Linked DNA regions of Oryctolagus cuniculus. The protein of the gene in region 6 interacts with the protein of the main gene of each other region in a pairwise test. Links are inferred from orthologs where the notes say so. Each region holds a gene or a part of one and is shown on either strand. Other genes may lie near its edges. The genes, in order: FAM110A, SH2D4A, FAM81B, TXLNA, RIBC1, RINT1 and DCX.

Region 1 (4,000 bases), on a different chromosome or scaffold from region 6:
CACTTGTCAAGTGCTTAGCACATAGTCAGCGTTCAAGTGGTGCTGGGAACTTTGGTCCTCTGTGGAGTGGGCAGGAGGCCCCTCCCCTTCCTTCCACCTGCTTCTCTCCTGGCCTTGGGTGCAGACGGTGAGGCCCTCGCCTGCCCCAGCAGAGGATCAGCAAGGCTCCAAGCAGTAGCAGCCGCAGCTCGGTTTCAGCCCAGCTGTCCAGGGCAGAGACACCCGGCTGGGCGTCCTCCAAGGCCACGCTAGGCCTCAAGCTATTTCTGGAGGCTTCCCAGACGCTCGTGCCCTGGCCTGCCCAGGAGCCGGCCTTGCCCTCGTCTCAGGAAGGCAGAGCCGAGCAGGCTGTGGGAGGGGTGTGGGTGTGGATGCCCAGGGCACTGAACTCCTGCCTGGCCTGCCCGCATGCCCGCCCCCAAGGACCCAATCTCCCGGGCCTCAGTTGGCACCAGAGGTTGCAAAATGAGGACAGAGGGGCTCGTAGTGGGAATGGAACGAGAGACACCACACACAGGGCCTCGGGGAAGGGCCCGGCCCAGGATGCGGAGGCTGGCCGTTGAGGCAGGCGCACAGCCAAGCCCACTTCACGGCCTAGATTGCCCTCTGCTCAGACCTGAGCTCACCATCCTGGCTTCTCATCTCAGCCCAGAGATGTGAAGAAACTTGCCAAAGTCACACAGCAAGTCAGAGACAAGTCATACAGAGTGACGGTCTCATGAGACACGTGTGTGTGTGTGTGTGTATGATTATTGTTTTCAATGAGGTAATGCATGCACATGGCTCAAAATTCAAACTATAAAGGAAATAAAGTTAAAAAAAAAAAACACAACTCCCTCCACCTCTGTCCTCACTACCACCACCCCCCACAGGCACCACTGGGGCCGGAAAAATTTTAGGCAAAACCAAGCAAGTATGAACACTAATGATTTCCTTTGTACACACATGGCACCACGCTGCGTAGACTGTTTTCACCTGCTCTTCCTTGGCGCACAGTATGTTGCTCTTGCTGCCACGTCAGTAGACAGAGCGTACCCCCCCCCATTTGTTTCCCTGGTCCCCACTGACAGCCACTGTCACCAACCACGCTGCAGCGTCACTGCGCCTACATTTTGCCTGAAATGGGGCGGCTGGGGCCAAGGGATGCATTGGCGATTGCAGCAGAGATAGGACCGCGTGCCCCAGGAGCCACACAAGTCTGTGCCTCACCAGGGGAACACACCGGTTCACTTCACTTAACTCCATGACGGAGATCACGGCCACCGCAGGAAGTGTGTGCCAGCGATGCATGCCTCCTCCCAGCCCCCACCTTCATCGCCTTCTACTGGGAGAAGATAATCAACTCGCTAGCAAGCAGAATTTATAGGACACAGGACAGAGCAAACGAGGAAAATGAGACATCAGGGGAGGGTAGGACACGCAGTCAACAACCACTTCCCGAGGGCAGGCACTGGGCACAGCAGTTCAGCCGCCACTTGGGACACCCACAGCCCATACTGAAGTACCCACCCACGCCCTAGGAAGTAGCACAAGTGCTTGGGACTCTGCCACCCCCGTGGGAGTCCTGGATGAAGTTCGGAGCGCTTGGCTTCAGCCTGGCCCAGTTCTGACTGTTGTGGGCATCTGGGGAGTGAACCAGCAGATGGATGATCACTCTCTGTCTGTCTCCCTGCCTTGCAAATAAAATGAAAATAAATAACTATTTGTGGAAGGAATGGATGAAAGGCTTTTCTTTCTGAATTTTCTGAGCTCTTCTCCCCAAAGCCAGGAAACGGGTCCAGAAGGGAAGAGAATAAGTAACTCTCTTGTGATGAGATTCAGGATTCGAATTCTGCAGTTCTCTGAGTGGAGGATTCTAAGACTGAAGCCAGATGGACCAGGTGACTTCGGGCAAGGAGCCTACCTCCTTCAAGGAGGAAGCTGTTCCCCCACCTACCAAAGGAGACCAACAAGAGCAGGTGCAGGGAGAGGGGTCCCCAGGAGGCAGAGCAGGGTCTGGCCCAGCTCAGAGGCTCCACCTGGAGGGCCCCAGCCCCAACCCCACCCCCAGTGTTTAGGGACTGCTTCAACCCCTCTCCCGACCCCAGGCAGGTTCCCAAGAAGACAACAGCGTCTCCGAGGGTTCAAGAATCTACTGCCCACTTGGCATCTATCCTGGAAACGTCGGTCCCCTCCCATCCCCAGAAAGAGGGCCCTGGGAGGGGGTGTTGGGATTCAGAACCCCCGACAGCAGAAGGGCCCCAGGCGCGCTGGGTCTCCTGAGGACGGTGCCGAGTGGGCAAGGTAATCCAGCCAGGAGTTCAAGGGCCGTATCCGTGCCGAGGACAGACTGGGAAAGCAACCGCCGGTTACCTCTGGGCCTCTCAAGGCAAATTTGCACCTGCCTAGCCTTAGCGGCTGCGCAGGGGTAAAAAAAGACGGCCTAGGACCCTCGTCCTTCTGAGTTTCAGCTTCCGTATCTGAAATGGCACGCAGATCATACGCGGGGAGGACGCCCGGGAGCGCTGGGCGGACGCAACTCCCAACACCCGGGCTCGCAACCGGGACCACCCCCGAGCTCACCTGGAGCCCGCGCTAGGCGTGTGAGGTTGACAGCTCGGACCCGGGCCGGGGGTGGCCGCGCCCAACGCAGGCAGGTCCCAGCCCCGCGCGGCGACCCGCAGGAGCCTCTTCGGAGCTGCGCGCGGCACCTGAGACGCGCAGGTGTCCCGGTGTTTCCGAAGGCCTCCCCGGAGCGAAGGTCCCCGGGTCGCGGAGGAAAGGGAAGTGGGCCCGCCGCTCCCCACCCCGCAACTTCCCCGGAATGGTTCGCTCCGGACTTCCTGATTGGTTCCTCGCTTCCGTTCGAACGCCGCGGCGCCCAGGTTGCCAAGCGACCGCTTAGCTTCGGCTGCGCGCTGGAGGCGACTCACAGCCCCGCCCCTGCCGGCCCGGTGTCCTCCCGGCGGCTGCGGGAGCTGGCGCCTGGCTCTTTTCCTGTCTTCTCCCTACTTCTCGGGTTAGGCCTTCCTCTGGGGATCCAGCTGGAAATGGCACTAGTCGGGGCCTCGGGCAGGTTCCTAGTCCTGTCTTTGTCCCTAATTTGCTGTGTGACCGCAGACCTGTCCCTGTCCGTCAGAAGAGAGGTCTTTCTAAAACCTTGCATATCCGGCCGTCCCGAAATTTGCAAAGGAAGTGGCTCCAAACTGAGCAAATGTCAGTAGTAACCCAGCAGTAGTCGGCTTAGTGAGATGATGCGGAAACAGCAGCGCTTATCAGGAGGTCTGGTTACGCAAATGCACGCTGTGCCAGTGGCTTCGTGTAACCTAACCGCGGCAGGGCCCGCGTCACATCCTTCGCCACGGTCTGGTGAGGAACAGTATGCAGCCACCAAAATGATGCACTTAAAATATATTTAAAGATATGGTGAAATGCTAACGGAATGTTGAATTATTAAAAGTTGCTTCAAAGTCCTATGCATACATATTATATGTAACCGCAATATGTATATATGCATAATCACATAATAATAGTAGTTAATTTCTTTTTATTTGAATGTTTTTGTTGTACATTTTTTAAAAAAAAACTTTATTTATTTGAAAGGCAGAGTCAGAGAGAGAGAGAGGAGAGAGAGAGGTCCTCAAAATGGCTTTAATAGCTAGGGCTGCACCAGGCAGCAGCCAGAAACCAGGAACTCCATCCTGGTCTCCCATGTGAGTGGCAGGGGCCCGACTCCTTGGATCATCTTTTGCTGCCTTCCCAGGCACGTTAACAGGAAGCTGGATGGAAAGCAGAGTAGCCAGGACTTGAGCCAACACTCCAGCTGTGGGATGACAGCATTGCAAACTGCAGCTTAACCCACTGTACCACAAAGCCAGGGCTTTGCGGGTTTTCCTAAAGTCCATCACGTGGACTTGTCAAGAGGGGGAAAGAAAAAAAAAGACATTTTTAAGGGCACTAGACTAAATTCACCCTCCAGGCCCTTTGATAGAAATTTGATAGTTGTCAGTCACTGTTTGGG
Region 2 (3,500 bases), on a different chromosome or scaffold from region 6:
TAAAATCTTAAAAAAAAAAAAAAAGTGATGGCTGGTGCCGCGGCTCACTAGGCTAATCCTCCGCCTTGCGGCGCCGGCACACCAGGTTCTAGTCCTGGTCAGGGCGCCGGATTCTGTCCCGGTTGCCCCTCTTCCAGTCCAGCTCTCTGCTGTGCCCTGGGAAGGCAGTGGAGGATGGCCCAAGTGCTTGTGCCCTGCACCCCATGGGAGACCAGGAGAAGCACCTGGCTCCTGCCTTCGGATCAGCACGGTGCGCCGGCTGCGGTGCGCCGGCTGCAGCGGCCATTGGAGGGTGAACCAATGGCAAAAAAGGAAGACTTTTCTCTCTGTCTCTCTCTCTCACTGTCCACTCTGCCTGTCAAAAAATAAAAATAAATAAATTAATTAAAAAGTGACAAAGAATCTGGATGGGCCTCTTAGGCATTTTATAGGAGCGAAGGAGAGGCTGCTGTCGGTCATGTGTGACATACATGTCACATGCACAGACACGGGACATGTACATCTGTGTGTCTATGGCAATGGCCCTCATTGCTTTCAGAGCAGTCTGGAGGCAGCGGCCTATGGCATTTAACTTTCCTGGGACGCCAACACTGCACACGTGTGACCTTGTAGACTGAGTTCCCATACCAGCTTCCCAAGTAGGTTCTCTTTCTCTGGGAAGTCCTTGGAGTTCAGGCAAAACCCTGAAGGCACAAGAGGAGCCGGTCTCTGTCTCTCCCCAAGACTGGCCTCCAGCTGGCCCCTGTCAGCACTGCTCAGACCCCAGCCCTGACCCCGGCTGGCCTGAACCTCCAGAAGCTCTCCACGCGGCGTCTTCCGTTGGGAAAATGAGCCAACCGAGCCCAGCAGGGACCACAAGGCCGCCTTTGCTGCTGTCAAATACACTGCTCTGCAAACCCGCGGGAGAGGGACATCTGGCCAGCGCTGTGCCCACGTGAGCACGAGGCAGCTGGTGCAGAGTGGTGGGTGCAGGAGCCCACGCACCTTCCCGACCCGCTGAAAAATTCACAGCTTCCCCTCCATGCCCTCACCGCTTTCTTGTCTCGTTGTCCATAAACAAGACAAGCATCCCCCAAAGGCCCACGATGGAGACCGTGGTCACTCAGCGCTGGTGCCCACATGCCCTGGGCCAACAGAAATAATGACACTGGACAGCCAGGTCCACCCTTGCATGTCCTCTGTGGCCACTGCTCCCCGTCCCCGCCCCATGTTCAAGAGGCCTTGAGATCACCACCGGCTCCAAGCAAGGGGAGACCCGTTTGTTTCAGTTCCAGGATTCTCAGTTTGGAGTTTAGAAGGCAAGGCTGTGGGCAGCTCCGATTTTAAACATTCTCTTTCTAAATACTAGGCTATTGGGGGGGTGGGGGGACCATCGTATAATCAGTCCCTGTTAACAACCGGGGTCAGAGGGAACAAAGGCAGGATCAGGAACCCCAGGCAGAGCGGTCAAGGTCAGGCTGGATTACATGAGGCGGCCGGTGCAGGGGTCGGGGTAAGGTGGGTCCACCCGAGTGCATGCACCCTGTCACGCTTCTCCACGTGACCTCTTACCTGGGTGGTTTCGGAGGACACCCGGCCGCACTCAGGAACTGAGGCTTCGGCGGAAGGGGGGGTCTCTTCGGTTTCTGGGGGACGCTCGAGGGGCTCTGCTGCCCCTGGCCACTCCTTCCCCTCTGGGAAAGCCTCTTGTAGTCCTCCCGAGCTTGCCTGGCCAGGGAGCGTCTCTTCTCGTCGGCCGCTTTGGATTTTCGCACTAGAAAAAGAAAGGGGTTGGGGCCAGGTGCCTGTCAGCCAGCCCACAGGGCCGGGGCGAGGGGGCAGCGCTGGCCCCCAGCCAGCCACGGACTCTGCCGGGCGCTCAGAGCCCTGCGCGGTCCCACCATCGCCTGCTATCCCGACCAGCCTCAGGGCTCACTCTCCTCTCTGCGTGGGGGCCGGGGGGGGTTCCCCAGAGGAAGAGGAAGAAGAAGGGGTGAGGCAGGGATGGAGAGGGTGCACACGGGGCAAGGGTCAGGCGGGCGAGGCCTTGAATGATCAGAGGCCTCTGCCACGTCCCTCACGCCCTCTGCACGGGGCCCAGCGAGCCCTGCGTCCCAGCAGAGGTCCAGCGGGCAGGAGGGCCCAGGTCACACCCAGCCCAAGTGAGCACGGCCAGAGGGCCTGGCGGACAACACACACGCCCAGGCCGCCTTCTGACGCTGCGTGGCGACTCGGAGGGCCTTTCGTTCTGTTTTAGCACATGCAGTGTTACGGCCTCTGATGCGGGAGCCACTGCTGACTTTCACCACAGGCACTGACTCTGTGGGCATCACCGGCCAGGCCCTGTCAGGCTGGTGCACCTCAGAGAAACCAAATACCCTCCAGGGTGCTGGGATGCCACCACACAGCACGAGATGGCCACCGGTTGGAACCTGCGCGTATTTTCATTTCACAAACATGGTCGCTGCGATGGCTTCTGTCGTCCTGGGCTGCAGACCAGTTCAGGATTCTTAATGCGCAGCCGAGACTGCCTCTTCTGGGCCCTGCCTCCACTGGCCTCCAGGGACCCCCCGGGGCACCGTGCCTCATGGGAAGCCTAGTTCCTGGCAAACCACCATGCTTCTAGCATCTTCCAGCACCTTGCTCTCTTTCCTTGCCATCAGCGGTCCTGTCCTGAGACTCGTCTCTGGCAGTGCTCACTCAGAGGGGAGCCAGGGCTGGGGCACGGGCAGGGAGGAAGCTAACCAGCAGGCTCTTCAGCAGCTTAGCACCTCTGCATGGATTGCTAACTTCTCATTCTACACTAAATGTATCTTTTTAGAACTTCGTTTTAGAGAGGCCAGTGCTGTGACACAGTGGGTAAAGCTGCTGCCTGCAGCACCAACATCCTACATGGGTGCTGGTTCAAGTCCTGGCTGCTCCACTTCCGGTCCAGCTCTCTGCTATGGCCTGGGAAAGCAGTGGAAGATGGCCCAAGTCTTTGGGCTCTTGCACCCATGTGGAAGACCCAGAAGAAGCTCCTGGCTCCTGGCTTCGGATCAGCTCAGCTCCGGCTGTTGTAACCATTTGGGGAGCGAACCAGCAGATGGAAGACTCTCTCTCTCTCTCTGTAGCTCTGCCTTTCAAATAAATAAATAAATCTTTTAAAAAATTCATTTTAGACACAGCGAGAGGGACAGAGGCAGAGACAGATAGTAATCTGGTTCACTCCCCAAATGCCTGTAACAGCTCAGGATGGACCAAGGTGGAAGCCAGGAGCAGACCTCCATCCGGGTCTCCCAGGTGGGCAGTGGGCACTTGACTACACAAGCCATCACCTGCTCCCTCCCAGGGTCTGCATGAGCAAGAAGCTGCAGGCAGGAGTCAGAGGTAGGTGTCGGACTCAGACACTCTGATGTGGCGTGTGGGCATCTTCAACACTGTCTCAACAGCCAGCCCAACGCCCGCCCCAAAGTTACCTATTAATTCCATTTTCCATGATCCTCCTGAAATCATGTCTGGGTCTTCCACATGGGTGCAAG
Region 3 (3,500 bases), on a different chromosome or scaffold from region 6:
TTAAGACTGGGAATAAGAGAAGGAAGAGATGTACAATTCGGGACATGCTCAAGCTGACTTGCCCCAAATGGTAGAGTCAGAAACATACCAGGGGATTCCAATTCAATCCCATCAAGGTGGCATGTTCCAATGCCATCTCACTAGTCCAAGTGATCAATTTCTGTTCACAATTGATCATAATGATACGACTAAGAGTTAAAGGGATCACATAAACAAGACTAGTGTCTGCAAATACTAACTGCTAGCATAAAAAAGGGAGAGAATGATTCAACATGGGAAGCGGGATACACAGCAGACTCATAGAATACCAGATGTTGGCCTGCGGCACCGGCACACCAGGTTCTAGTCCCGGTCGGGGCGCCGGATTCTGTCCCGGTTGCCCCTCTTCCAGGCCAGCTCTCTGCTATGGCCCGGAATGCAGTGGAGGATGGCCAAAGTGCTCGGGCCCTGCACCCGAAAGGGAGACCAGGAGAAACACCTAGCTCCTGGCTACGGATCAGCATGATGCGCCGGCCACAGCGCGCCAGCCATGGCAGCCATAGGAGGGTGAACCAACGGCAAAAGGAAGACCTTTCTCTGTCTCTTCCTCTCTGTCTACTCTGCTGGTCAAAAAAAAAAAAAAAAAAAAAAAAAAAAGAATAGCGATGTCCTAAACAACACTCTGGCCTCAGAATCAGCCCTTAAGGCATTTGGATCCAGCTGAAAAGCCCGTGAGAGTATTTCAGGTATGGAAAGCCAAGACACTCTGGCAAAAAACAAAAACAAAAAAACAAAATAAAACAAAACAAAACAAAACAAAAAAAACAAACCTAAATGAAAGATCTCCACGAGTGCACGAGTGAGATCCCAGTGGAAAGAACAGGTCATCAAAGAAAGAGGTACCTTTCTCTGAAGGGAGAAGAGAACTTCCACTTTGACTCTGACCCTGTCCAAATATGATCAGAGTCGGCGAACTCAAAAGGCTTCCATAGCCTTGGCAACTCATGACAAGGGCCTAGGGTGATTACTGACGCCATAAACAAGAGTGTCAATTTGTTAAGTCAACAACAGGAGTCACTGTGCACTTACTCCTCATGTGGGATCTCTGTCCTTAATGTGTTGTACATTGTGATTTAATGCTATAACTAGTACTCAAACAGTATTTTTCACTTTGTGTTTCTGTGTGGGTGCAAACTGTTGAAATCTTTACTTAATATATACTAAACTGATCTTCTGTATATAAAGAGAATTGAAAATGAATCTTGATGTGAATGGAAGGGGAGAGAGAGCAGGGGGTGGGAGGGAAGTTTTGGGGGCGGGGGAGCCATTGTAATCCATAAGCTGTACTTTGGAAATTATATTCATTAAATAAAAGTTAAAAAAAAAAAAGGTTTGTTAGTATCAAGATGTCACTGTAAAGCTCCTAAAGTGAGAGTGAGAGTTTATAAGTACCCCCCTCAAAAAAATTAATGATATCTCCAGAAAAATTCTACTTCCTTAAGGGAAAACTCAGTAATACGTGTTTTCAGACATATGACTACACTCATGCTTTGAGATTCTCCATATTGTTAGCAAACACATCAGAGGCTGAGAAATTCGCTGCTAAATACTTCTTCCTCGGCTGGTTAGCTCACTTGCCTACAGCACTGTGTTATTATGGAAAGGAAAATTATTCTGCTTTCACCAGACACCAAGGACGAGTCCCAAACAGTAACCCATCCTTCTCAACTTAGTCACAGGCTAAGTAAGGTAACATAATTTTTTTTTGTGAGAAAAGTTGGAGTCAGGGAAAGGCTCAGCATTTCATCTATGTTGCAACAGGAGAGCCTGAAACTCACTGTTCACCCCTCCCATTTCTAGGCTCCCACGGTTCTCTCATTCATTTGCTCTTTCGCACCTGACCACAGTGGCTTCAGTGAGGTGGAAAGGCTACCTGCAGGGGGCTGAAGAGGTCCAACAGAGACTATGCACAGACTCCTCTCCCTAAGTTGTGAAAAAGCTGCAAGAGGACTGGTTTTCTTTGCTTTTTCTTTTTTTCATTTGTTAGGTCTTTCATTACTTATAAACCTTATTTTGCAGCTTACATCAACAGTTAATGTGTTTTAGTCTGATAATCCTTAAAAAGAGAAATGATTGGGGCATAGCAGGTGAAGTTACCACCTAGAACGCCAGCATCCCACATGGGTGCCAGTCTGTGTTAATTCCCTGCTAAATGCCTAAGAAAGCAGCAGAAGATGGCCCAAGGGTCTGGGTCCCTGCCATCTGCACAGGAGACTTAGATGAAGTTCCTGGCTTCGGCTTGGCTTAGCTCTGGCCATTGTGGCCATCTGGGGAGTGAACCAGTGGATGAAAGATTCTCTTTCTCTCTCTCTCTAGATCTCTGTAGCTCTGTCTTTCAAATAAATAAAATAAATCTTTTAAAAAAAATCCCACAAGGGGGTGGCAGTTAACAATATAATCACACATACTTTAGTCTGGTAATTTTTCTGATTGCCTCATCAAAAAATATAGCTCCTATCAAATGTCTAAAATATGCTTCTCATTTATAGATGCTCCTTATTATGGCAAGTAGTACAAGAATAGTGAAAATTCCTATGCAGATCAAAACCTCTTACAAAACAACATATATCTTCATACTCTGAAATATCTTCTTGACCAGAGTATGACTATTTTATCTGAAGTAACATACGACACAGCCAAACTCCACAATAAACAAACGGGGACCGTTTCCTAGATTTTGTGATGCGATCTGATTACTATATAATGAAAGGCATATGACTGAATTTTATATCTGTGTTTGGGGGTCTAACAATGACACTGATTAGCTGTCTGGCAGTTTTTCCTTTGGGAATTATTTTTCTATTAAAGAGACAACTGAACAGATGACAGCTGAGATGCCAACTAGAAGTGGCATTTCATAGGTCTACAATGTGAGGATTCTAACTACAGGGGACTCCATTTCTAAATACTGATTTATTCCTAATATTAAGTGAACAAGCCCCTTAGGGACTTTATAGTATTCTAAAATTTAGATTTTCAGCAAGGGATATAAGCATTAGCTGGAAGATATTTATTCTGTCACAATACAAAAGAATGGCTGCTCCTATTAAGTCTTCCCAGATAATCAGCGACCCAAATTCCCTATGAAACAAAGTGTGACTCCAGGATAATATCCAAAGCACAAATCTAAAAATCTTAAAAATATAGCTTGTTAAAAATTAAAATAATTCTTGGTAGCACAGAATCATTAGTCTTTTCTCCATTTTTTTCCCATTTAGTCCTAAATTCTTTGGATTATCTTTCAGCTACTGAAAAGACTCCTTGGAGAAACATCTATCAAAAGTATACTTTCTTTGATCAAAGATTCACAAGGTTGGACAGCCAACACATGGAACAACAGGCATGTCTACTCGCACTGGACTTCAAGGACAGGTCTCAAACAGGCACTCTTCTTTACCACCCAATCTCTGTCATAAGCATCTTCCGTAATGGCTCCGCTTCCTTGATGTATGTATTTCTCC
Region 4 (4,226 bases), on a different chromosome or scaffold from region 6:
CAAAACCTCTTGGAATTCCTTCGGGGGGGGGGGGGCACCACTGGTGGGAGAAAAGCTTGTCTGCCTCCCAGCAGATAAAAGGTATCCCACCTGCAAATTCAGGGCTACTGTTTCAATGCAAAGTGGGGCCTTCCCAGAGAAGCAGGATCCGAAAAGGTCTCCTGGCCTCCGTGAGAAATCTATAGCCCTGTGTACGAGGCATCCAAACAGGGAACCTTATAATGAAGAGACCTTCAATGTGTGTTCCCATGATTCTTTAAAAAAGTTCCTCTTTCAATTAGGGTGACAAGTGCTGGGGGCGGGGGAAGGGCGGCGAGACAGGGACTAGGACACAAGTCCAATGTCATCTAACCCAGATTCTTAACAGACACGAACTCTGCTGTCAAAAAACCGTCTCTGCCACTTCCCCACTGCCTGTGCCCAGTGGGGGGCCTTTCCCCAGGGGCTGCTGACCAGGCTCCAGGCTGCTCAGCCTGCGGAGGCCCGAAGACACCAGCACAGAGATGCCAATCACTGGCACACAGGCCAAACCCGGCTCATGCATGGGTTTTGTTTGGTTTCTACTACTGAAATCTACAGATTTCACCAGACTCTTGATTTCTGGCTTTTCTTAACAGAAAATAAAATTCCAGCTGCACCCAGTCTGAGGTTCAACACGCTCTCAACTGACGAGCTGGCAGCAGGCACAGTGCAGAGCACTCAAGGAACAAGGCTGCAGTCCACCCTGGGCAGAAAGCAGGCCCTCCCTCGGTCCTGGCTTACACAGACGTTTGCGTTTGCAACTTTGGCCTAGCCCAATCCTCTCCTTGTAGAGAACTGGAAACTATTGCCCAGGGCGGGGAAAGGACATGCCCAAGGTCACACAGCAGGGACGAAGCGGTGTGGGCAGGTACAGAGCCCATCCAAACCTCTCCGCTTTGTCCATGAGGATCAGGCTCCATTTCACTTGCTCCCAACCTGAACGACTCCGGCCTGTGGCTGGAATACCCTGCGCTTTGAATCAACCAGGGAGACTCCCTGCTGCACAGCCCAAGGAATGTCAGGTGCAAAGCCCTCCCCACAGCCCCCCGCAGCTGCCCTCTGCTCACCCAGACCCTTGGCCTTCTTCTTTTCCTGTGGCCTCCGGTGGTCTCGGTCTCCGACCTCATCGCTCGTCCGGATCTCTTCCGTGCCCGGCTCTGCCTTGGAGGTCTCCTTCTCGCCATTGACTACTGGGGTGCCCGGCTCCGGCTCCCCATTCCTTGCCACATAGGCGCGAGACTTCTCTGCATCTTCAGGTTCAGGGGGCTCACCCTGGACCCCATCCTCACCCGGGGCCCCCTGGTTGTTGTCCACACAGTATGTACTGAGTATGTCTTCCAACTGGCGGCTCAGCTCCTCAGAGACATCACAGAGCGCCCCAGGCTGAGCAGTTTTGGCTTGAGCCCCTAGGGCAGGAGAGGACGAGAGGCAGCGACAGACGGCAAGGTTAGACCACCACCTGGGATCGTGAGCCCAGCCAGCCTCACTGGTTCAGGTTTAAGGTTGCCCCAGCTTACTTAATTCTCGCAACCTCCCCAATACAGTTTGTTCAAGCATAAAATAAGTACGTACGGCACCTGGGACTGCCATGTCGCAGGAGGCAGGCAACTCAATGTTTCGTCCATTCCCCTCCCTCTAAAAGCCCCCGCTTGCTATGCAAGCAGCTCCAGAAATGCCTCGACAACGAACCAAGGGCAGTGACCCACACTGGTGACCGAGGTCCTTCGGATGGAACCCGGCGTCACTGGCTGAGGCCTCAGGTGCCGGCCACCTGCGAGAAGCCTGCAAGGGCCTCCCCTCCCCAGAGCCTGGGATGCTCCACATCCCCGCTGCCTCCTCCCTGGGCCGGGCCGCGAACTCCTCCCCCAGGCGGCTGGAAACGCAGAGCTGGCACACACCCTCCGGCCTCCCGGGAGCCTGGCTGCTGGCACCTTCGGCTTCTCGGGCGGGGGCCGGCCGGCCGGGCCGCCCCTGGGCTCCCTCCGCTCCTGCTTCCGGCTGTCCCGGGCTGCTTTTGGGGTTGGGCTGTTTGGCAGCCCCGTTCTTTTTGTCTTGATTCTTCATTGTGCGCTGCCACCTTAGGTTGGGATTGGATCCTTGAGAAACACAGTTGCTATTTTCCACAGAATTCTTCGCAGCCTGGATCAGAAATCACAGCCCAGGCGCACCTTCAACGGAGGGAGCCAACGGTTCTCCCGCTGTCCGGCCGGTCAGGGGGCCTGGCGCACCCCGGCGGGTTTCCGGGGCGCTGCTCCTGGAGCGGGTGAGGAGAGAGGCCTCCTTGTTCCCCCCGAAGCCACTTCCCGGCCCCACACGGCCCCTCACGGCAGGCCCGGCGCGGGATTGGCTCCCGGCCGCAGACTGACGTGGCGGGACGCTCGACTCCGACCCCTCCCCCCGCGCCCCAGGTCCCACGTGGGCTCCCGCGCCCGCGCGCACGCAGCCACCCACGCCCCGCGCGCCCTCCAGTCGCGCGCATGCGCACAGCGTCACCCCGACTCCCCCCACCCCCGCCGCCGCCCACGCGCAGAAATCGGAGCAATTTCCCCGCTGGCCGAAAGTGTCCAGGTCTGCAGGCCCTCACCGTCCGTCGTCCCGCCGCTGGGCTCACCTCACGGGCGACGTGCGACCGCGTCCCCAGCGCTGGCCTCGCACCGGAAACCCTGGGTAACCGCTGCCGGCAGAGCCGCCTGTCCGAGCCACAGCCAATTAGTAGCCGGCGCTGGCGCGGAGCTTGCCGGGAGCCGGGAGCGAAGGCGGCCTCCAAGGCGGGTGCATCGGGAGGGCGGGGACAGGAGCGGACTACACGTCCCACCATGCATCGGTCGACACAACTCCCAGGATGCTCTCGTCCTCAGAGCCGCGGACTCCGGAGGGCTGGGGAGCCGGTGGTTCTGAGCAAACCTCCACGTCAACCTCGCCGGTGTCGTGCAGAAGCCCTGTGCGGCCCAGCCTCACTGCGCCCGCGTGCCTCGGTCCACACTCCGTCAGTCCGGGGACTCCGGAGAGGCCTGGGCTGGGAGGCAGGCCTGTGTTCCAGGTCCGACTTCATCCCTAGGTGCCACGCGACTGGACGTTCTTTTCTCTCCCTGCCTCGATTTCCTTATTCTGACGCAGGCTTTCAGTGACCGTAGCGGTTCTCTGAGCACACCCCGTGTGCTTCCCTGGTCTCTTAAAAGCCCTGGCCTCCTAGCTGCTGGAGATAAGTACTATTTGTCATTCCCATTTAACGGAAGAGGGCTGTAAGGCTCGCGTTAGACAGCTCGCCCACGGTCACAGATGCTGGGTTCGAGCAGTGGTTCAGAACCTGACTACTCCGCTACCCTGCCTTTTACTCAGAAGAAATAATCACCATTGCAGGCGTTCTCCAAGAGCCCGGGTAACTTGTGAAAGGTAGTTACCCCCCCCCCCCCCCAATAAGCTCGGCAGTCCCGCAGGAAGGGGCAGAGGGGTCCCTGCAGGGGTGTTTGACCTCAGGCCCATTCCTGAAACTTCTTCGTCCCATTTTGTACAAAGTCCTTGTGGTACTAGGGCTAAAACTGAAAAGGCCAGATTTTTCTCCAAAGGTGGGATCACAATTTTTTAAAAAGATTTATTTATTTATTTGAAAGGCAGAGTTACACAGAGAGGAGAGGCAGAGAGAGAGAGAGGTCTTCCATCCGCTGGGTCACTCCCCAATTGGCCGCAACCGCCAGAGCTGCGCCGATCCGAAGCCAGGAGCCAGGTGCTAGGAGCTTCTTCCAGGTCTCCCACTGGGTGCGGGGGCCAAGGACTTGGGCCATCCTCCAGTGCCTTCCCAGGCCATAGCAGAGAGCTGGATTGGAAATGGAGCAGCTAGGAGGTCTTGAACTGGCGCCCATGTGGGATGGCGGCACTGCAGGCACCAGCCCCGAGGTCACAATTCTTTATCACCGCTGCTTATAGACGTTGGAATAAAACCCAGTACTCTTTGCACCTGGAATCTGAAGAGCCTACGTGGTTTGGCTTTTGCCTCTTCCATCCAATCTTGGGTTTTTTGCTCCAACTCTACTTTTATGATTCACAGGGTTTCTCAGGTTTTTGCAGATGCTTGCTATTTTTCTTCCAAAGTGCACTTATGGCAAAAATAAACAACAAACTTGAGAGCCATCTCAAAGAGCACATCAAAACCCTCCCAGTGCTCTGCCACTGTTGCAGCTCCCTAGTGTTAACCAGATTAGTCCCGA
Region 5 (3,500 bases), on a different chromosome or scaffold from region 6:
TGCCAGGCGGAGAGCCCTTTCAGGGCAGGGACCAGGCCTTATTCATCTTTGTATCCCCACTGCCCAACACAGTGGTCAGCACAGAGCAAACCCTGAGGAGTGCACCTTGTTAAGACTCATTGCTACACTTCCTTTATTTTACCTCCTTGTACAGAGGAGGAGCCTGGAGCTCAGAGACGGCGGGTGACTTATCCAAAGTCACATCTATCCAACAGCAGACCTGGCTTTGAACAGGGGTATGGTGGTTTTTCCAGAAGATCCCATGCTGAATCCTCCTCTATCCACCCGCCCAGCCATCTTTTAGTTTGTTTCTTACATTATTGGTATTTTGTCTTTATTTTTTGATCGTGATTCATTTAAAACATTTCCAAATAGTACAACAGGAAATACTGTTTAGTGTACCTCAGCCTGGTAAACAGTTTTTTATGTAGCCTTAAAGAGCTGGCTCAGGCATATACAATACTGAATATTCTTCAGGCCTCTTTTGGCTCAAACCCAGGCTACACAGCCCAGAGCTAACCTGGGAAGAGTCAGTTGCCATCCCCAGGCTCTTGTGCTATACCAGGCCCTGGGCCTGGGGTAGGGGTGGTGATGCCTTCTCCCCATCTCCTTCCGTTCCAGCCCTAGGGCCTGTTTGAATCAGGGAAAGGGCTATGACAGGCGCTGTTGCATTCCTCTCCGGGTAGAAGATGAAGTGGCCCTACTGCCCACTTACCCCTATGACTCGGTTCCGCACATTGAAGAATCGGCTTTGTCGCTCTTTTTCTCTATTTCTTCTGGCCTCAATGGCTGCCACTTCCTTGGGATCGGATGGGAAGTCTAATTTAAACATCTGGAGAAAAGGGGAAGTAGAATGGCCCATCAGTGCAAGCCCCCAGCCTTGAGTATACTCCACCCTCTATTCCTCACCCTACCGCTTCCTAGTGATTTGATTTTCCAGCATACTTCGTATCTCTGTTTTCCATCCCTGTCATCACCACCCTAATTCAGGCCTCACAGTGGTATCATGCAACATTCCCAGAGCCTCACTGGCCTTCCTTGCCCCATGGTCACCCTCTCTGCACTGGCTTTATCTGAGCTAGGCTACCTGAGTGATCTTTCCGAAAGCAAACCTGACTGTGCCATTCCGCAGCTTAAAACCTTCAAAAGCAGCTTTCGAGTAAACGGCTCCATGGTGCTTACAAGGCGGGGTCCAGTTCCCCATTACTGGATCTATAAGGTTCTTCATCATCTGAGCCCTGCTCACTTTTCTAGGCCTCAAAAGCACAGATAGCACTTCCCCCTTTTCATTATGATCTAATGAGTTTTCCTCGTGTCAGTAAATGACATCACCATTAACCTAGTTGCTCAGGCCCCAAATCCCGGAAGCATCCTTGAATTCTTCCTCTTGCTCCCTCTTCCTTCAAGCCCCCATTATCACCTTCCTGAGTGACTACAAGAGTCTCCACATTGCTTTTCCTGCTCTCTCTGTTGTCTTCTTTATAGCCTGCTCATCACACAGAAACCAGAAGCAGCTCTCTTTTCTCTAATCAATTCCCCCAACCCTGTACTTTTGTGACTTATTTTCTAGTGGAACGAAAGGATAGAGTGTTTATATCTACCTTTGTTCCTTCAGGTTTTCAGAAGCTCACTTGTGGCATTGTGAGCCAGCCAAAGCTGCAGCCAGAAGAAACTCTGCAAACAAATCTGATGATATCTCTTACCTACTTAAAGTCTTTCATTGAACTTAGAATAAGAGCCCAACTCTTCACTGTGGACTTTCAAGATCCAGTTCCTTTGATTTCTCATGCCACTATCTACCTTGTCTCTAGTGCCCCAGGCACAGGGGCCTCCTACCAAGCCCAGGGACACAGCAAAACTGTTCCCACCTCAGGGCCTTTCTATGTGGTGTTTCTGTGTTTGCAACATCATTCCTCAACTCCTTCCATAGCTATTCTGGTGTGTTTGTTTGCTTTTGAAACCATTTTGTGACTATCAAGTAGTTGATACACACAGGAAAATACATACAACCCATATGTCAGTTAGGAAGCATGAAAATAGAGACCCATGAACCAACTCTCCAGAGGCAGAGAGAAAGCGCGCGAGAGAGGTATCTTCTATCCGCCGCAAGTAATGAGCCATTTCTCCAAGAGTACCCCAGACACCAGCCAAAATGTGTTACCATTCCATTGTGTTCATTAATATTCTGAGTATACGTATGGATCTCTAGACAATATTTAAATTTTTTTTTATTTTAATAAATTATCAGGCTGTACATATTCTTCTGCACCGTGCTTTTCTCATTCAATGTTCACTGCACCACCATTTAACAAATACCTGTGGAGTGTCTACTAGTGGCTAGACACTTCTGTAAGCCTTTGGGAGACCACAAAGAACAAAACTGCCAAAAATCCAAATTCTTTTGGAGGTTGCTTTTTAGTGGAGGCAGACAGATAATAAAGAGTAAAACAAAAATGTATGTTAGTTTGTAAGATGATAAGTGATATAGGAAAATATAGAATATATATATATATATATATATATATATATATATATATATGGAGGGAGAGAGGGAGGGAGAGAGGGAGAGAGCGAGTGAGCCAGCACCAAGGAGATGGAGGAGTGTTGCAATTTATGGAAATGAGAAGCACCATGGCTGAGAAGGCAAGGGGATCACCCATGCAAATATCTGGGAGGAAAGCATTCCAGGCAGAATGAACAGCAAGCACAAAGGCCTCAGCACCAGGCAAGTGTGGTTGGTGAGACCGAGTGAAAGACAGGTGGGGAGGAATGACGTCAGAAAGATGACGGGGCACCAGACCATGCAGTTTATATTATAAAGCCTTTGGCTTTAACTGAGAAAATGAGCAGCTGTTGGAAGGTTTTGAGCAGTGGACTGATGTGGTCTGCCTTTTGACTTTTTTTTTTACAACTTATTTTTATGTATTTGAAAGGCAGAGGGGCTGGCGCTGTGGCGCAGCGGGTTAAAGCCCTGGCCTGAAGTGATGGCATCCCATATGGGCGCCGGTTCTAGTCCCGGCTGTTCCTCTTCTGATCCAGCTCTCTGCTATGGCCCAAGTCCTTGGGCCCCTGCACCCGTGTAGGAGACTCGGAAGAAGCTCCTGGCTCCTGGCTTCAGATCGGCGCAGCTTCCACCATTGCGGCCATCTGGGGAGTGAACCAGCAGATGGAGGACCTCTCTCTCTGTCTCTACCTCTCTGTGTAACTCTGTCTTTCAAGTAAATAAAATAAATCTTTTTTTAAAAAAAGGCAGAGTTACCGAGAGAGAGGGGGAGACGCACATAGAGAGATCTTGGATCAACTGGTTAACTCCCCAAATAGCTGCAAAGGCCAAAACTGGGCCAGGCTGAAGCCAGGGGCCTGGAACTCCATTTGGGTCTCCTACATGGGTGCAGGAACCCAAGGACTTGAGCCATCTTCCGCTGCTCTCTCAGGCCATTAACAGGGAGCTGGATAGGAACTGGAGCAGCTGGGACTGAAACCAGCATCCATGTGGCATG
Region 6 (3,500 bases):
GAGACCTGGATGCAGTTCCTGGCTCCTAGCCTCAGCCTGGGCTGTTGTGGCCATTTGAAGAGCACACCAGCAGGTACAGATCTTTCTTTCTCTCTCTCTCTCTTACCTCGTTCCTGTAACTCTGCCTTTCAAGTAAATAAATAATGTTAAAAAAAAAATACAAAATTTTTGTAAGAAGCTAGGTAATAGGGCCGGCGCCGCGGCTCACTAGGCTAATCCTCCGCCTAGCGGCACCGGCACACCAGGTTCTAGTCCCGGTCGGGGCGCCGGATTCTGTCCCGGTTGCCCCTCTTCCAGGCCAGCCCTCTGCTGTGGCCAGGGAGTGCAGTGGAGGATGGCCCAGGTGCTTGGGCCCTGCACCCCATGGGAGACCAGGAAAAGCACCTGGCTCCTGGCTCCTGCCATCGGATCAGCACGGTGCGCTGGCTGCAGCGCGCCGGCCGCGGCGGCCATTGGAGGGTGAACCAACGGCAAAAGGAAGACCTTTCTCTCTGTCTGTCTCTCTCACTGTCCACTCTGCCTGTCAAAAAAAAAAAAAAAAGAAGAAGCTAGGTAATAGCCAAATGGGTTCATTTTCCTATTCTATTTATATTTGTATATATTTGAATATAAGATACATAAATTAATATATTTATGATTCTTCATAATTTGTTATATTATGAACACATCCGAGAGGTATGAAGTATTATTCTATTTTCCTTAAAGTTTTGAATTTTATTGACTTTGACATCATGATTTAATCTTAGCCTTGTCAGTGATTGCCATGCATGAATATTTCCCACATGTGAAGTCCACAGAGGCAAAAGGTTCATTGTATAAAGTTTTTCATGAACGGCTTCTGCTTTTTTACAGTGCTTAAGTACTCTAAAATTTTAGGATTGTTTAACTATTTGAGGTTGATTAAGCAAAATAATGTACTTCAATCATACTTTTTAAGTTTGGCATCATTGTGATTGTAACATATTTTGCTTTCAAGAGATTCAACATTTGAAAGGGAAAACAGTTCAAATTACTAATGTATTACTTAATAAAGCACATTAACTCACAACATTGTCAGCCCAGTCTGCTAGTACAGTTGAGATGTAGTTCACGGCATTAAGAATCGCACAGTATCGAAAGCCAAGGGAAGCTCTAGTCTCTTCTTTCATCACTTGTGTTAACCGTATCCTAAAATCATCTACTAAGTCCTTCTGTAACTCCAAGAACTCCAGCTTACGGGAAGCCATGGGAAGATTTTTATACCTGTCTGTGGAGAAAGTTATGACTTATGAAGACTTTTGATCCAAGGCACAGTTACAGATTTTTCCTATTGACCTGCGTTAATGCCTAACCAAAAAAAAAAAAGTCATTCAAGTATGGGCCCATTTTCCCAATTCTGACTCTCTAAGAATATGGGTTTCACAAGTACATATATTTGTTAAAACTCATTGAAGAGTATACTTAATTTCTGTGCATTTCACCTTATATAAGTTAAACCTCATTTTTTAATTTTTTAAATATTTTTGACTGATTTTTCTTTAAAGATTTATTTATTCATTTGAAAGAGTTACATAAAGAGGAGAGGCAGAGAGAGAGAGAGAGAGAGAGAGAGAGGTCTTCCATCCGCTGGTTCACTCCCCAAATGGCCCCAACAGCCAGACCTGTGCTGATCTGAATCCAGGAGCCAGGAGCTTTTTACGAGTCTCCCACGTGGGTGCAGGGGCCCAAGGGCTTGGGCCATCTTCAACTGCTTTCCCAGGCCACAGCAGAGAGCGGGATTTTAAGTGGAGCAGCCAGGACTCAAACCGGCGCCCATATGGGATGCTGGCATTGCAGGCAGCTGTTTTACTCGCTATGCCACAGCGCCAGCCCCTAAACCTCATTTTTTTAAAGATACATGAAAAATTATATAGAATATTTAAGAAACAATTTAAAAGAGGGTTGGCACTCTGGTGCAGCAGGTTAAACCACTGCTTGTGATGGCAACATCCCATATAGGGATGCCAGTATGAATCCCAGCTGTTCTGCTTCTGATCCAGTTCCCTGTTATCACACCTGGGGAAGCAGCTGAAAATGGCCCAAGTACCAGACCCAGGTGGAGTTCCAGGCTCCTCATTTCAGCCTGGCCAGACCTAGCTGCTGTGTCCATTTGGGAAGTGAACCACTGGATGGAAGATCTTTCTCTCTCCCTCCCTCCTCTCTGTCATTTTGTCTTTCAAATAAATGAATTTTTAAAAAATTATATAAGCTTGGCGCTGTGGCGTAGTGAGTAAAGCCACTGCCTGCGGTGCTGTCATCTCATTTGGGTGCCGGTTTGATTCCTGGCTGTTCCACTTCTGATCCAGCTCCCTACTAATGTGCCTGGGAAAGCAGTGGATGATAGCCCAAGTGCTTGGGCCCCTGCACCCATATGGGAGACCCAGAAGCTCCTGGCTTCAGACCAGCCTAGCTCTGGCCATTGCAGCCATGTGGGGAATGAACCAGAGGACTTTTCTCTCTCTCTTGCCTTTGCCTTTCAAATAAATAAATAAATCTTTAAAAAAAAAAAAAAAAAAAGTAGCTCCTGGGAGGCAACAACAATGGCTCAAGTGGATTCCTGCTACAATTCTAGAGACCTGGATTTAGTTCCCGGCTCTTAGCTTTGTGCTTGGCCTAATCCCAGCCATTGAGGGCATTTGGGAAGTAATCATCACATGAGAACACTTTCTCTGTCCCTCCACCTATCAAAATTTTTTAAAAATAAAAATGTATACTTACCAGTTATAACCAGGAGTAGAGTCATAAAAGTTTCTGCACAGTCTGGAACTTTCATTTCATCCACATCAGTGATATCCTTATATTGGGATACCCAGGCAGCTTCGGATGAAAGCATTGAGTCCATTTTTTGAAGAGCAACTGACATGAAGAAAAAAAGATTATGCTAAATAGGTAGTTGCAGGAATTCCTAATTTTTCAGCTCACAATGTCTTAATCAATGATAACTTTCTACAAACAATCTCACATTAATTGGAGTATATTTATCATGCTGTGTTTTAAACAGATATTTTACTCCTCCTAACCCCAAAACTCCAAAGTGTTATGCTGACTAGACAAACTATGGTACAGGCTAAGTAGGACCTGTCTGTCCCAAACTCAGCAGATGTTTAAACACTGATGTCTTACTGCTAACAGCTGACAGGCTGAGTGGAGACTTGATCCAATTGTGGCATCTGAGGGGTGGGAAGTGTTTAGACAGGGATGCGATGTTCTCAAAGTGTGGTTCTCCGAGAGTGTTGATTATTTGAGTTCAAGTTCTGCTTAGCTGTTCTGTCTCTGTTCCCTGGCTCACCATGCGATCACTCCACCACACCTGTCATCATACACCAGGCTATGGGACTGCCTCAACTGTAACTTCCAAACTGTATACTAAAATAAACCTTCTCTTTGCCAGGAAGTTCCTCTCAGGTATTTTAGTTAATGTAACAAAAAGTGGACTAATAAAAACTACAACCAGAAAGATCTTACCAACAGCAGAAATACCA
Region 7 (4,099 bases), on a different chromosome or scaffold from region 6:
CTCTATTGATGCCTATAAAATCAGAAGTCTGAGCAACAGCCTGATGCATTAACAACTACATTTCCTAATTTCTTTCCATGAAATCTAAGAATGGAACCATAACAAATGAGAGCACCTCCCACCAAAAGCCAGCACCCACTACTTGAATTACCTTCCTCCAATTCATCCATGCTTCCAATCTTCCTGGATCCATCAATGGTGTAAATGTAACGCACTCCCTGAGGCAGGTTGATGTTGTCAGACAGAGATCGAGTCAGATCAGCTAGCAAGGCGTCGAAGCTGCGGAAACGGTCAGAGGACACAGCGTACACAATCCCCTTGAAGTAGCGGTCCCCATTGCGGTAGAAACGTACCTTCTTGGCTTTTTTCTCATTGCTCAGTGCCTGCAAGGTTCTGGTTCGGTAGAAGCTACAGTGGGCGCTGTGAGTGGGGCTAGGCAGCCCGTTCATCCTTGAACCTCTCATGTTCCTAGATGCCTTATCTCTTTCATCAAAATGTCCAAAATCAAGTTCCATATTTCAGTGGAACCTCAGAAACCTGAGTGTTGGAGAAAGGGGTAGGGGTAAAGAGAGGCAAAGAAAAGGGGTCAAGGAGGGAAAAAAAGAGAAAGAGATTCAAATATTAGCCAGATCCAGGTCTGCAATCTGCTGCCTGTGAAAAGAACTGGTTGAAGAAAGCCCGTGACCCATCTGCTGCTTGCCCTGACCTGCAGGAATATTGATCTTAATAGAGAAGAAGGAGGGGCGGGGCAGGGGTGCTGGTGGGTGTGGGGGTTGGGAGTAAGAGATAGAGAGGGAGGCACTTTGGGCACGGTTCCAAACACAGGAGAGGGAGGGATCCTGAAATAGCGTAAAATCTTGAGACTACTGACAGTGGCTCCTATCATATTGTAACTTCGGGCTAAATACATTAAAACTGGCATCTGTTTCCTCACACATGCCCACATGACTAACAGTTGTAAATGAATCCATAGCTTGACAAAATTCCCCCTCAGAGAACAGAAGGAGCTAGCCAAGGTTAGCATCTCCAGCTTTGGAAGGGGTCTTTGCATCTCAGCACAATGACTATGAAGGGGAGTCTTTTAATTTTATTCCAAACCCTCTTTCTTACTCTAATGTGCGCATCCCCTCCCCCCCAGAACAAACTGGGATTCTCTTTTAAAGGGACAGCCTCCAGGGACTAGCCAGTGTCTTTGTGCTATTCATCAAACCCTTTCCCCCACCAAGCTGGTGCAGAGCTCTGACATGCACAAGAAATAAGATGAGAAAACGGTTTAGAAAAGGCAGTCATTTAACAAGTTATTAGCTCTGCTTTCCCTTGATACCATTTAGTCACAAAATCCTGTTTGTGTTTTTTTTTTTTCCCCAGGTGCTTCATCCCCTCCCTTCAGATGCAGCAACACCTCTTAATGAAATAATAATCTAATTGTTTCAAGATTTCCAAATGAGTCCCTGGAACAGCATATGGGACCTTTAGAAGCAAGCACACCTTTCATTGTTCTGGGTTTCTACACTGAATGAAGGGGCATTTTTGGTTTCACAGCAGGCAATTCACCCCCAACTTGTCTATTGCCCAGGTGATTTAGCTACAGAAAAAAAAAGAGGGATATCTGTCAGGCTTTGCTTTTTCCTTTCTGCAGAAGCCCCCCACCAAACCTCAAAAGACAAAAATGCAATGAAAACACCCAGCCAAATACAACCAAAGCCCCAAACGCCAGCAAAGGTAGTGACATAGGAATCAAACTATTAGCATGCATCTCACAGATAGGCATAAAAGGACTCACAAAGCAAGTAGGGCTCAGCTGCTGCACACTGCCACATGGAGGTATTTGCAAGGGACCCGGAGGACAAGAGATAAAGGGAGACTGGTGCCTAGTGGGATTGCCACGCTAGACGCCCCCCTCCCTTTTTCCAATGTCACCGTGACCTATGCTGAGCTCAGCATTGTCTCTGTCAGACAACCTGCAGTGGTAAGACCCCACCTCCTCAACACGAGCAGCAAGCATTTCCCAGCCTGCCAGTAACGCTTTGCTTTGCTTTACCATCAGAGATATTATTCTAAATTAACAGCAAAGTGAAAACAAAGGAACATGAAACTTACTTTCCAAAGGAAAATCCCAGGTAGAGCTTTAAGGGGAAAAATCCGACAGAATAAAGCAAAAAGGAGAGGAGGAGAAAGAGAGAGAAAGAGAAAGGGACAGAGAGCACGCTTTGCCTTGTGCTCTTGTGCTTTTCCCGTTTGACATCTGTTACATTCTGCTTGAAAATAACTGGAAAGCCCCACTCACCGGTTTTCTGCTGGTTGGGTGGAGATGCTGAGAGAAAGAAAACCAATCTCTCTATGCCTTTGTTGTCTGAGCTCCAAGCAAGAAATTCCTGCCAGGGTGGATAGATGCCTTCTAGGTCCTAGTGCCTTGTCCAGCTTCTCCCCTGTAACTCAGGCTTAGTGAATCCCCCCAACCTCCTATGATTAATTACATTCTTTTTTCTCAATTCACAGGCTGCATTAACAGCTAAGTTCCATTTATAACCAACAGGAAATTGCAGGGTAGCAAAAAGGTTGCACAGGCAAATTCACTATGCTCTAATGAGCAATGTGCTAGCCCTTTCTTTTAGAAAATTGGCAATTTCTCTTAGCCAAAACCTTGACCTAATCTGCCTGGAAGCCAGGCTCAACCCACCAAACCAGGCTTCTTAAAATTGTAGCTCTCTCCTTTTTTACGCTCTTGAAATAAAATAATCAAATCTGTGAATTTTGAGGCATTTTAATTCATGCATCCAACAACTGGTCATTTTTCAAATGAGGTAAGTGGAGTAGACTAAGAGGGAGTAGGAAAGAGTCCATACAAGAGAAATTAGTTCCAGAATTTCATGGAAGATAGATTTGAAAAGGATCCCTAAAGACTTTTAGGCAACTATAACAATTTGGTTAATGAAATCTGTGTTTTTTACCTTTAAACGTTTGAGAGTTTAGAGACCTGTGCTGTGACCTAGTAAGTAAAGCCACCACGTGCAGCATCAGCACCCCATATAGGCACCGGTTTGTCATAGCTGCTCTCTTCTGATCCAGCTCTCTCTTATGGCCTGGGAAAGCAGCAGAAGATGGCCCAAATTCTGGGGTCCCTGTACCCACGTGGGAGACCTGGAAGAAATTCTTGGCTCCTGGACTTGGCCTGGTCCAGCCCTGGCCATTGCAGCTATTTGGGGAGTGAACCAGCAGATGAAAGCGCTCTCTCTCTCTCTCGCTCTCTCTCTCTAACACTGTGTTTCAAATAAATATAAATAAATCTTAAAAAATAAAAGAATTGGGAGTTCAAACCTAACCTAGACATGTTTCTCTTTGAAGTGAGTCCAGTGACTACAAGTTAAGAGTTGTCTCTTCAAATTGCCTATTTGTAACTAACTGGATTCTTTACATCACCTATGTTTTAAAAAGACAAAGAAGCATCCAAATTAAACTCATTAGATCAGACCAAACTATGAGACAAGAGGAGAAAGATGAGAGGCTAAGTGAAAAGTGGGCTACCGTCTTCACAACTGAACTCTGTGCATTAATTAATGTGTAGCAGCCTTGAATTATCATGGTTTCATTTTCACTTGGCTTCCAGGAAGCTCAGAGGTAAAAAGTACACTCAGCAATTACTATATGTCTGATTCTTAGTAAATTAACCCCTTTATATAGATCTGTTAATCTTTCATATTTAAGCATTTTCTGTGAATTTGTTTTACTGTAAGCTGCCACCAAGTGAGATTAAAAAAAATGAGCATTTTTCTTCCTTGGAAGGTGTTGGCTCAGCAAAGCATAAGCTATCCGTATTAGATGAGTGGACAACTTCAAGTGTGCAACCTGCCTGCTGAAGTCCTCCCAACACCTTGCTGCTGCTCTCTTTGTTTCTATGTAAGTATCTCAGTGGAATGCATCTGTGCACACTGATCTCTTCCATGTATTGTTGCCTTACATTCTTGCAACCACTTGAAAAATCAGGATTATTCAGATCAGAAAGATAGAAATATCAAAAAATAAGTGCAGGAAAATAGGAAATTTCAGTGAGGTGAATGTCTTAAAAGTACTTTCTTACATATCATAATCATTCATTAAA

The links.
Region 1: the proteins of RINT1 (region 6) and FAM110A interact in binary tests that used the Homo sapiens proteins (3 or more experiments, as listed by UniProt). The two-hybrid records come from large-scale screens. The link is inferred for Oryctolagus cuniculus from reciprocal best matches to the Homo sapiens genes RINT1 and FAM110A.
Region 2: the proteins of RINT1 (region 6) and SH2D4A interact in binary tests that used the Homo sapiens proteins (3 or more experiments, as listed by UniProt). The two-hybrid records come from large-scale screens. The link is inferred for Oryctolagus cuniculus from reciprocal best matches to the Homo sapiens genes RINT1 and SH2D4A.
Region 3: the proteins of RINT1 (region 6) and FAM81B interact in binary tests that used the Homo sapiens proteins (3 or more experiments, as listed by UniProt). The two-hybrid records come from large-scale screens. The link is inferred for Oryctolagus cuniculus from reciprocal best matches to the Homo sapiens genes RINT1 and FAM81B.
Region 4: the proteins of RINT1 (region 6) and TXLNA interact in binary tests that used the Homo sapiens proteins (3 or more experiments, as listed by UniProt). The two-hybrid records come from large-scale screens. The link is inferred for Oryctolagus cuniculus from reciprocal best matches to the Homo sapiens genes RINT1 and TXLNA.
Region 5: the proteins of RINT1 (region 6) and RIBC1 interact in binary tests that used the Homo sapiens proteins (3 or more experiments, as listed by UniProt). The two-hybrid records come from large-scale screens. The link is inferred for Oryctolagus cuniculus from reciprocal best matches to the Homo sapiens genes RINT1 and RIBC1.
Region 7: the proteins of RINT1 (region 6) and DCX interact in binary tests that used the Homo sapiens proteins (3 or more experiments, as listed by UniProt). The two-hybrid records come from large-scale screens. The link is inferred for Oryctolagus cuniculus from reciprocal best matches to the Homo sapiens genes RINT1 and DCX.

What each region holds. Positions count from the first base shown.
Region 1 is NC_091442.1:26,831,807-26,835,806, reverse strand, and holds the start of FAM110A (protein FAM110A), read right to left. Parts: upstream 2,801-4,000; 5' UTR 2,563-2,800; intron 1-2,562.
Region 2 is NC_091439.1:3,452,112-3,455,611, forward strand, and holds part of SH2D4A (SH2 domain-containing protein 4A), read right to left. Parts: intron 1,754-3,500; coding exon 1,552-1,753; intron 1-1,551. UniProt on the Homo sapiens protein: Inhibits estrogen-induced cell proliferation by competing with PLCG for binding to ESR1, blocking the effect of estrogen on PLCG and repressing estrogen-induced proliferation. May play a role in T-cell development and function.
Region 3 is NC_091445.1:18,096,874-18,100,373, forward strand, and holds part of FAM81B (protein FAM81B), read left to right. Parts: intron 1-3,284; coding exon 3,285-3,500.
Region 4 is NC_091438.1:140,273,197-140,277,422, forward strand, and holds the start of TXLNA (alpha-taxilin), read right to left. Parts: upstream 2,801-4,226; 5' UTR 2,633-2,800; exon of another isoform or gene 2,606-2,632; intron 2,491-2,605; exon of another isoform or gene 2,276-2,490; 5' UTR 2,086-2,275; coding exon 1,920-2,085; intron 1,428-1,919; coding exon 1,089-1,427; intron 1-1,088. UniProt on the Homo sapiens protein: May be involved in intracellular vesicle traffic and potentially in calcium-dependent exocytosis in neuroendocrine cells.
Region 5 is NC_091453.1:37,533,130-37,536,629, reverse strand, and holds part of RIBC1 (RIB43A-like with coiled-coils protein 1), read right to left. Parts: intron 833-3,500; coding exon 716-832; intron 1-715.
Region 6 is NC_091434.1:138,802,863-138,806,362, forward strand, and holds part of RINT1 (RAD50-interacting protein 1), read right to left. Parts: intron 2,875-3,500; coding exon 2,737-2,874; intron 1,247-2,736; coding exon 1,047-1,246; intron 1-1,046. UniProt on the Homo sapiens protein: Involved in regulation of membrane traffic between the Golgi and the endoplasmic reticulum (ER); the function is proposed to depend on its association in the NRZ complex which is believed to play a role in SNARE assembly at the ER.
Region 7 is NC_091453.1:82,099,631-82,103,729, reverse strand, and holds the start of DCX (neuronal migration protein doublecortin), read right to left. Parts: upstream 2,801-4,099; 5' UTR 2,288-2,800; intron 538-2,287; 5' UTR 516-537; coding exon 152-515; intron 1-151. UniProt on the Homo sapiens protein: Microtubule-associated protein required for initial steps of neuronal dispersion and cortex lamination during cerebral cortex development. May act by competing with the putative neuronal protein kinase DCLK1 in binding to a target protein.